Linked DNA regions of Daphnia pulex. The protein of the gene in region 1 purifies or fractionates together with the protein of each later gene. This does not show direct contact. Links are inferred from orthologs where the notes say so. Each region holds a gene or a part of one and is shown on either strand. Other genes may lie near its edges. The genes, in order: squamous cell carcinoma antigen recognized by T-cells 3-like and probable RNA methyltransferase Y17G7B.18.

Evidence for each region.
Region 2: the proteins of squamous cell carcinoma antigen recognized by T-cells 3-like (region 1) and probable RNA methyltransferase Y17G7B.18 purify together in Homo sapiens (affinity purification with mass spectrometry; 6 studies listed by BioGRID and IntAct, counting the BioPlex papers as one, with this or other methods). This does not show direct contact. The link is inferred for Daphnia pulex from reciprocal best matches to the Homo sapiens genes SART3 and MEPCE.

Annotation. Positions count from the first base shown.
Region 1 is NC_060026.1:14,703,098-14,707,478, forward strand, and holds the start of squamous cell carcinoma antigen recognized by T-cells 3-like, read right to left. Parts: upstream 2,959-4,381; 5' UTR 2,797-2,958; coding exon 2,629-2,796; intron 2,565-2,628; coding exon 2,438-2,564; intron 2,378-2,437; coding exon 2,273-2,377; intron 2,218-2,272; coding exon 1,940-2,217; intron 1,886-1,939; coding exon 1,453-1,885; intron 1,380-1,452; coding exon 1,206-1,379; intron 1,144-1,205; coding exon 975-1,143; intron 914-974; coding exon 758-913; intron 699-757; coding exon 272-698; intron 211-271; coding exon 63-210; intron 1-62. Other genes in the region: zinc finger and BTB domain-containing protein 18-like, read left to right, coding at 3,165-3,385, 3,451-3,869, 3,938-4,212. UniProt on the Homo sapiens protein: U6 snRNP-binding protein that functions as a recycling factor of the splicing machinery. Promotes the initial reassembly of U4 and U6 snRNPs following their ejection from the spliceosome during its maturation.
Region 2 is NC_060021.1:10,084,113-10,088,472, reverse strand, and holds the start of probable RNA methyltransferase Y17G7B.18, read right to left. Parts: upstream 2,889-4,360; 5' UTR 2,782-2,888; intron 1,071-2,781; exon of another isoform or gene 1,000-1,070; 5' UTR 791-999; exon of another isoform or gene 751-790; intron 541-750; 5' UTR 513-540; coding exon 1-512. UniProt on the Homo sapiens protein: S-adenosyl-L-methionine-dependent methyltransferase that adds a methylphosphate cap at the 5'-end of 7SK snRNA (7SK RNA), leading to stabilize it.

The DNA.
Region 1 (4,381 bases):
ACATCAAATAGATTTGGGATAAAAACAAATTAAGCTCGTACCTAAAGATCGCAAATACGTACCTTTGATAAACAGTTTTTTCTTTTCTAATGTTGACTGGTACTTGAAAGCTGGATGCTTCAATGCTGCGTCCGGTTCGCTTGGAGACATGAAAACCGGTCGTCCTTTCATGAGCTCACGGTCCCGCTTCAGAACTGCTCTCGCTTCATCCTAAGATAGTTTTAAATGAATTTAACGGACAAGCGTAGGAAATTTAATTATGGAAGTTTACTTGTGAAGAAAATTCGACAAAACAAAATCCTTTGCAACGTTGTTTGTAGTCCAGAACAAGACGTATGTCCGTTATGGTGCCGGAAGAACTCATCATGTTGCGTACATCTTGTTCAGATGTTTCGTAGGCCAGATTGCTTAAAAAGACCGTATTGGCATGACGGGAAGGATCGGTAACCGGTTTAGGAATGACAACGGGCTTGCTAGCAGGTTCGGTGGCGTTTACTTTAGGTTCAACTTTCTTTTTGGGAACAACTTTCGTACTAGTTGCTGCGGCATCATGGCTTATTTTAGGTTTTTTGGCAGGCACGGGTTTCGATTCTTTCGCATCTTCAATCTTTCCTCGTTTCCTACCTTTAGCCGTTTCTACTTCTTGAACCGTTTGCCCCTCTCTTTCTTTATTAACCTTCTTCATCCGAGCTTCACACCTGGCATATTTAAACAATTAAAATCAAAATTTTCAAAAGCTTTAAATTATTTTTCAGACCTCTGTTTAGCGATATCCATGGTTTGTAAGTCTCCTTCTTCGCGTTCAAATTGCAGCCATTGCTTAACGATCAACTCTGGCCAATCGGACGAAGAGACTCCATTTAGACTCTTCGTAAATAATTTGCGGACTTCTTCTTTATTGTTATCGTGTGTTCTGTTATAATAAGCATTGTGTTAATATAACTCTAATAGAATTAACTAATTAGATCAATAACCTTTCAAACTGAACACGAGCCAGCCACCACTGAGCAGATTTACTGTGTCCCCGGCTTATAATCTTGCTCCAGAGGTCTCGAGCTTTAGGCATATTATTCAGCTTTTTTGCTTCGAAATATGCCCAATATTGTAGCAGTGTACACTCCGGGTCTCCTTCGACATCATAAGCTACAAAACAAAAAAGTTATAGTTTTTATATTGGCGATTTCATTGGTCTTAGAAAAACTTACTTTGATCTAAATGTTCGGTCGCTCGTGTAAAAGCTTCACGAAGTTGAACGATGTTCTCATTGTCACTGTCACCCCATGTGCATTTTCGTACAAGGTATTCAATGAAACTCATCCAGACGGACAGCAAATCGGCCGCTGTTGCTAGTCCCGCATTGAAAGCCTTCTCTACTAAACCTGTTGAGTAAACCCTTGAATTATTAACGTAAAAAACAATATGAATGGTTATTATAATTCGCTATTTATCTACCTGCAATGAATCCATCCTCTTTTTTGTAGCGCTCGGCAGCCAAGATGTACTCAGACCAGATGGGTCCGTTCCACGGACAGTTGCGGATTGCTCGTTTAAAAATGGCAAAAGTGGTTTCTGCGGCTTTGAATTGATGATCGACGAACTTGCAATAATCGTTCCAGAATGAGTCATACAGCGGCATCTCGGCAACAATACGCTCGAAAAGTGCTTGAATGCGAGCAGGATCTTTAAATTCATTCATCTCGAGATCCAAATACGTACGGTAAGCTGCAACCTTGTGGTCGTTTTCAACAGCGATTATCAGGGTGTCTTCTATGGGTGCTATCTTTTCCATTTGTCCCTTTGCTTTGTCATAAGTGGCTTTGACATGTGGTTCAATTTTCTGATCCAAAATCTGAAGCCACTCATTGTATTCTGTCCAAGTTCGCTCCTGAAAATAAGACTTCAGTAAGAAGAACAAATCTACGATATTTAAGAAATTTACCATATCCAGCAAGGGAACGGAGAGTTGACGGTTGAACAAATGCGTGATTTTTTGGGCTTGACTGGTCTTCTCAGTTTCACTTCCACCTTTAGTTGTTTGATATATCGCCATTTCAAAATCGCGATAAGAATCCCACAGCAAAGCCCCCTTTACAACATGAAGTCCTCCATGTCGAATGGCTTCTTCCATAACTGCTCTAATTTTTTTCAATGCTTCAACACCTCCAATATCCATTCCAGCAAGACAAAATTGGATGTATTCCACCCAAATATCAATATCTGAAAATGATAATATTTATATTTTGAAAAGTTGAAAATTTATATTTTTATATACTTAAGTAGTCCTCTGTTGCCCTTTGAAACAGCAATTCAATTTTCTTTTTGTCTTCATCTGTTAATCCAAGTTTAATTTCATCTCTTAGCCAGTCAAGCCATAGTTCTAAATAAGAGAATAAGGAATGTAAAAAAAAAATTATCTAAATTGTTTATTAAATCTTACCTTCAGTCAGAGGATAAATGGCATGCATAGATTCTCTGGCATATCTCAACTGATCTAGTTCCCCAAGTTTTTGTAGAGAACTAATCAGTTCAACATGTGTGTTGTAGGCATTTGGAGATTTTGCGAGCTAAAAACATACAATTTTTTTAAAAATTGAACCAAAAAATTCACAAACATGGGAAAACACTTACTTCTTTTCTTAGTTCAACAATTCTTCTCTCGAGAACATAATGCTCTTCCCTTTCTTTTTCTGAATCATCAGAATCAGAGCTGCCTGACCCATTAGGGTTGTCATTGCCTTCAAAACTCATTTCTTCAGTCTCATCTTCCTCAGCAAAACCTTGCTGGACATCCATCATGAAGCTCTTTTTGTGTATGTGTATAAATAGAAGCACTTGTACTGTATAATTCTTTAATAATTCGAGATCGAGTTTTGGGGTTGTTGGGTTAATTTCAAAGACAACACAACATTACATCGATGTTGTTCGTATTCGGCACGCACAGCCTAGCGGCAGATGAATGAACTATCAAGCAGAAGACTTAAATCTTCACATGAATCACATCTGCTATTCTGCTTAACATTAATTGATTTGATTGACTGTTGAAAACAACACATCCAAGACGATCGCTCAACGAAATTCGAAATATACTTTATTTAGCTTTTTTAAAGAGTTGAAGAAATATATTTCCAGTGATTTTTAGACTTGGTTGACTCTTAAACAAAGAAATGGAAAACAAGACGAATTTTAAATCTCTGGACGATCTGTGGACTCGGAATTTGTTGGCCATGTATAAAAATCAATGTCACGCAGATGTAACTTTAATTTGTGAAGGAAAAAAAATTTTGGTTAATCGTTCTGTTCTCGCTTCGCTTAGCCCTTTGTTTAGCCAGTTGCTATTGGGTTGTGATTCCCATGTTGAGCCTGTCATTTTCCTTGAAGGATTCAGGTAATAGTCATTCCCATTTGAAACTTATTAAAAAATAACCATTTTTATCTTTTACCATTCAATAGTTATAAACCTATGGTCTGCTTGGTTAATTACCTTTACAATGGGATTGCTGAAGGATCATCAGTCGACTTGGTGACAGTGTCCACATATGCCAAAGAACTTCAAGTCAAAGGTCTTGTAAAATTACATGGGAAAGAACAATTCCAAGTGGAAATATTAGAAAAGAGAAAGGTTGAGGAACAGCTGCAAAAGCTGCAGTCGCATGAAATTGAATGTGATTCTGATTCAAGCTCAAATGAAGATGAAGATCTTCAAATAATTTATGAAAATGTTCAAGAATCTCTTCCCACAAAAACAGATGATTCAAATGAAAATTTGACCAAAAACACAGTTTCTTCAGAAATCAATTCTAAAAGGAAAAGGCAAATCTCCCAGTGCTCTACACACACTGAAAAGAAGATTATTTTAGAGCCAATTCCAGGTACAAAAATAAAATTGTATTACCAGTCTGTATAGTGATCACAAATTTGTCTATTTTCTTTACGGCAGAATCATCTAATAATTCAAAATCTGCTGTTGCAGTAAAAGCCCTCAAGTGCTCTATTTGTAAAGAGACATTTAATGCAAAAACAGAGTTAAGAAGTCATCTTGGAATTCATCATTCCGAGCAGCTGACTTGTAGCATCTGTGGAAAATTGTTTACCTCGCGCATTACTTTAAAGAGACATTTAAGGAGGCACATTTCTTCACTTGATGGCCTCCTTGGTTCGTTGTCACAGTGCCAACTTCATCTAAACGAGCCGTCAGATAACATCGCCAATTGACTTTAACTTCTAGTAAAGATGATCAACCATAACTGTAAAATTTTTATTGCAATTCTCCTTTTGGCCTATTGCACCAATATCCGTCTCAAGTAAGCATGTTATTTTCGATATTTGGTATGTGCACTACCCCTATATATTATTTTGAATAACTTAAATTGATTGCATTTGC
Region 2 (4,360 bases), on another chromosome or scaffold:
GCGCTATTGGTCCTCCTTCTTTTACGGTTTCGTCCTCTCTTTTTTCTAGAGACGGCATTCGGAGATATTAACGCTCTTTCCGCTAAATTATCATCTGGCATACTCAGGTTTAAAGGATCCCTTATATTTGATGGAATTAATACTTCAATTTCTTCCTTCCTGTGTTTAGGGGTTGGTAACGGAGAGGATTCTGGGGTATGCTCATTCAAAGCTTTGTTGATTCTTTCATCTGCTAGACTGCCCAAGTTCAACGGGTCTCGACTATTGCCTCCAAGTAGAAATTTTGTTGGTCTCACAAATTCTTCCTTGCGTCTTCTCTTGAAGTGATGTTGCTTGCTTTCAAATGAAAGACTGAGACTTCTTTTGCGCTGACTGCCTGTTACTGGTTTCACCATTTTTTTGGGACTGACAAAATGTGGAATAGCTTCTACAGGTCTGTCATCCCCTTCTGCAGGAAAATGCACCCGCTTCATTTGTCCAATACTGAGAGAGACTACTTGGGTTGATGCCATGATGTTTCATTAAATTTGCTTCAGCAATCTGTAAAAAGAAAACAGCTTTACAATACACACATCTCTCTGCTTAAACATTGACACACTAAAACATTGCAATTTTAGAAGTTTTTAATGCAAATTCTAAATAATTTTCAAATTTAAATAAATCCACACGCTGTGCAGCATCTAGCGGTCACGCCAGAAACCTCACATCATAAACGTATTTTATAAACAAAGAAAATTAACTATAACCTACTTTTTTGGCTCCAATACAATTGGAAAGGATGAGTTATTACCTAGAATTAAAATTGAGTTGGCAAAAGTGATGATTTGTGTTCCAATTTCTGGACAAGGTGTATCCTGAGCAACCTTGTCTATTCGACGTTCTGATGCTTCTGCTCCTTTCTTTGCGTTCAGTCCCCATACCCCAGTAATAAATACATCCCCTCTCTCATAGCAGCGTTGCACAATTGGCAAAAAAAAGCACTGAGCATTACATGTGTACCTAGTTTAAGAGAAACTGAATTTGCGGTTGATCGAGAATTAATTGCAGTCAGGTTATGCGCTTATGGAAATCCAATATTATTGAAAAATTCTATAGCTTAGTAATAGATAAAAATTAGACGTGCATTTATTATGTACATCAAAAACTAAAAGTGACGGATAACGTAAAAAACTATTCGTTAAAACTTCATAAAGTTGTAAGACATTAAAAAAAATTTAATCCATATTATAGTGCAATTTAAAAATACTTCAATTTCAAGCCATGTCGACGAACATGATGAATGATTTTATTTCCTCCTATTTGACTTAATTATGTGTTAAATTGTGAATCTGTTACTACTCAATATATTTTGTTGTATCTTATAAACTCGGTTAGGTTACTGTAACATTTCTAGGTGTACTTCCTATAATCGAATTCAAAATTTTTACTAAATTTCTGTTTCTGTCATGCAGGGAGAAAGTGACATCTCCTACGTATGCAATTACTAATAATTACGCATGCATCTGTTAAGACTTAAGAATGTAAAAACGAGTTATCCAAGTTTATTAAGAATGTAAATAATCTTGCCATCATGTGATTCGTAATCATATATAATCCAATCATATATTGGAGATCTAAATTTTCCAGAATTCGATTCAGCCATTCAGGTACTCAATAAAAACGTTTTGTTAACGTTTCGTTCCACGCCATCTAGTTTCGGTGTATGATACTATGATCACTCCATCGTTTTCGTATAGATGGCGAAATTTTTAGTTTTAAGTATAAAGGTGCAATTTGCAGCAGCTCAGCAAGAGGATTAATGCGGCACGAATAAAAGAATCGTCTCTTGTCGCATTCGTAGGACAGGTATACACGTAACATCTTTCCATTCCTCTAAAAGTTATCTCACAACTTAATTCCAAATAAAAATTGCTTTATTGAATTGCTGATCTTTTTTGATAATTTGATTATGTTCATGTTTGTTAATTGTTGTAGAAAGCCGCAAGCATGAGCGTACATAACACCGCAGCACCGTTGTGCATTGTTGCATGATTTGCTTTATCCTATTATGAATTGAAATAATTCTGCCGTGATGGTTCTTACCACCTACTTTGGCTACCGTGTCAAGTAAGTTTCACATCAAAATAAATTTGAATTTCATATTTGCCAATGTACGCACAAGTCTTACATCAAATAGGTTTGTCACATTTGTTCGTGGGCTGAGTTAAATTGGTCACTGATTGCATCTATCAGTTGGTCATAGATCTTATAATTCTTCCTCGACAGAAATTAATTATAGCAATCTGAAAATCTGGTCGGAGTAGGGAGAGGCCGATAGGGATCTAAAAGGGAATATAAGAAATCAATAGATGGCGTGGCTCATGAAGTAAAATGCCACAACTTGTCGACTGCCTGCGTGTTTGTTATACACATATTACGAATATACGTCACACAATCACACCACGTACACGACATCTATCTACCCATTCTCTTCCCCCTATTTCGGCGTTCGGCATACTGGCTTCACCCTTATAGTAATAGCTAAACAATGTTAACTGTAGATGTTTAAAATCATTCTCTTGATTATTTATCTCTTGATTCTCCCTTTCAATATTTAACCTAAAATTTCTCAGTGTTATAATTAATTAGTTAATCTTTATAATGCGGTAATTCTTTGTGAGCATTGATAGCGCCACAGGCTATATGTTAACTTATAACTAGCGCCAGCGGGAAAAGGTTGCAAATTTGAAGCACATAATGAAATTAGCTTTCACCCTACAAAATCTTTGCTTATGTACTTACGGTTTGGTAGACCCTATATCTTGAAATGATATTTAGGATATGATAGTGACATGGAATTGGCTTCATGGAGAAAAAGCAGTAGGCTACCGTCGAGCGTAGACGAAACAAGAATAAATTCACATGCTCAAATGTTGAGACATACATGATTAAAATGGTCATCTTATAACATAAAAAATTGAGGTCAATGATATGTAACACAGTGCATCTGAATCTGATATCGTGTTCGATGCAGAATCACATTACCAATTTTATCTATTTGCCCGTCTCATTTCCACTGATTTTACTTAATTTTAGTCGAGTTTTTCCGTTTGAAACATATTATTTATTCCCAGGTTCGCAGCTAAAAAAATGCCAATGCTCTTGCTATTTAACACCCTTAACTATTTTCCTCTTCGAACTCCATCTGATGATAATAACTCATTTCCTTTCTGTTCCTTCAAGTGTTATGAGTTTACCAGAACACCAGCGGAGGCAACGAACTCATTTCTAGAATAAGCTACTGTCAGTACCGCTAATAGAGACACGCGTGTCTCTATTCTATCTGATAGATTTTATTTATTATTTTTTAAAATTCCAAATCTCTAGTTTTGTTATCAAGTTTATTGCGATATTTAACAAGTAATTCAGAGTGTTAGCTATTAAATCAAATTAATTGAAACCATTGGGAACATTTTTTCAAAGCGAAATTTTTTTCAAAGCGACGATCATTTTGCAGTCGTTCAATCAGTGCAAGCAACGCGTTGCCTCCGGGTTGGATATTGCTTCCAACCAGAAATCACGCTCATCCAAAAATTTAAAAAACAAAAACAAAACAGTGTTGATCTTTGATTCCGTAATTGGAGATGGACAAACGAGACGAACGAGACACAAAAGCATTCAATACGAGACAAGTTATTGCCAACTTATTTATGCTGCTGCAACCGTTGGATGTGTTTGTCACCAAAAATGGTTTCATTAAACAGCCTTATTCAGCCACAGATTCTTGCAGTCACTTTGTGCTGATAGAATACGTAGTATATGCTGATTATAAGGCATAAATGCAATAATTTGTGTAGTAAAACTAATAAAACTCTTCACAGTTTTCCATTTCCTTTTCTTGACCGCAGTCGAGATTCTTATACTGTAAATGTGCGCACATCAACTCGAAGAGGGAAGAAGACTCCAACGCTATGGCTGCTGGCTTGCCTATCTCGATAGATCTAAATAGAGAAAGTATCCTGACAGATACAAACGACGTTACTTTGACGCTCAAAACGATACGCATCGAGTTTTTTCCCTATATATTTCTTTTGTTTTCGAATTTTCAAATAAGGCCCTGTTTTTATTCTACCTTTTTTCTTCTTTCTTTTAATGTCATTCTCTGTTATAGGCGAGGCGTTCTCTATAAACTCAGAATTAGAAACACGTTTACGTATCTGCTCCCCCCCCCCCTCGGCAGCCTAAGGGAAGGGAAGATTTTGTCCTATCCACATTTCTAACCTGCAAAGACACAACGAACATTTTTGTAATCATCTCCAGTTTGATTTCAGCTTTGTTCCTGTCTATTGCTTTAAATTTTCCATAGGTAATTAACATAGTA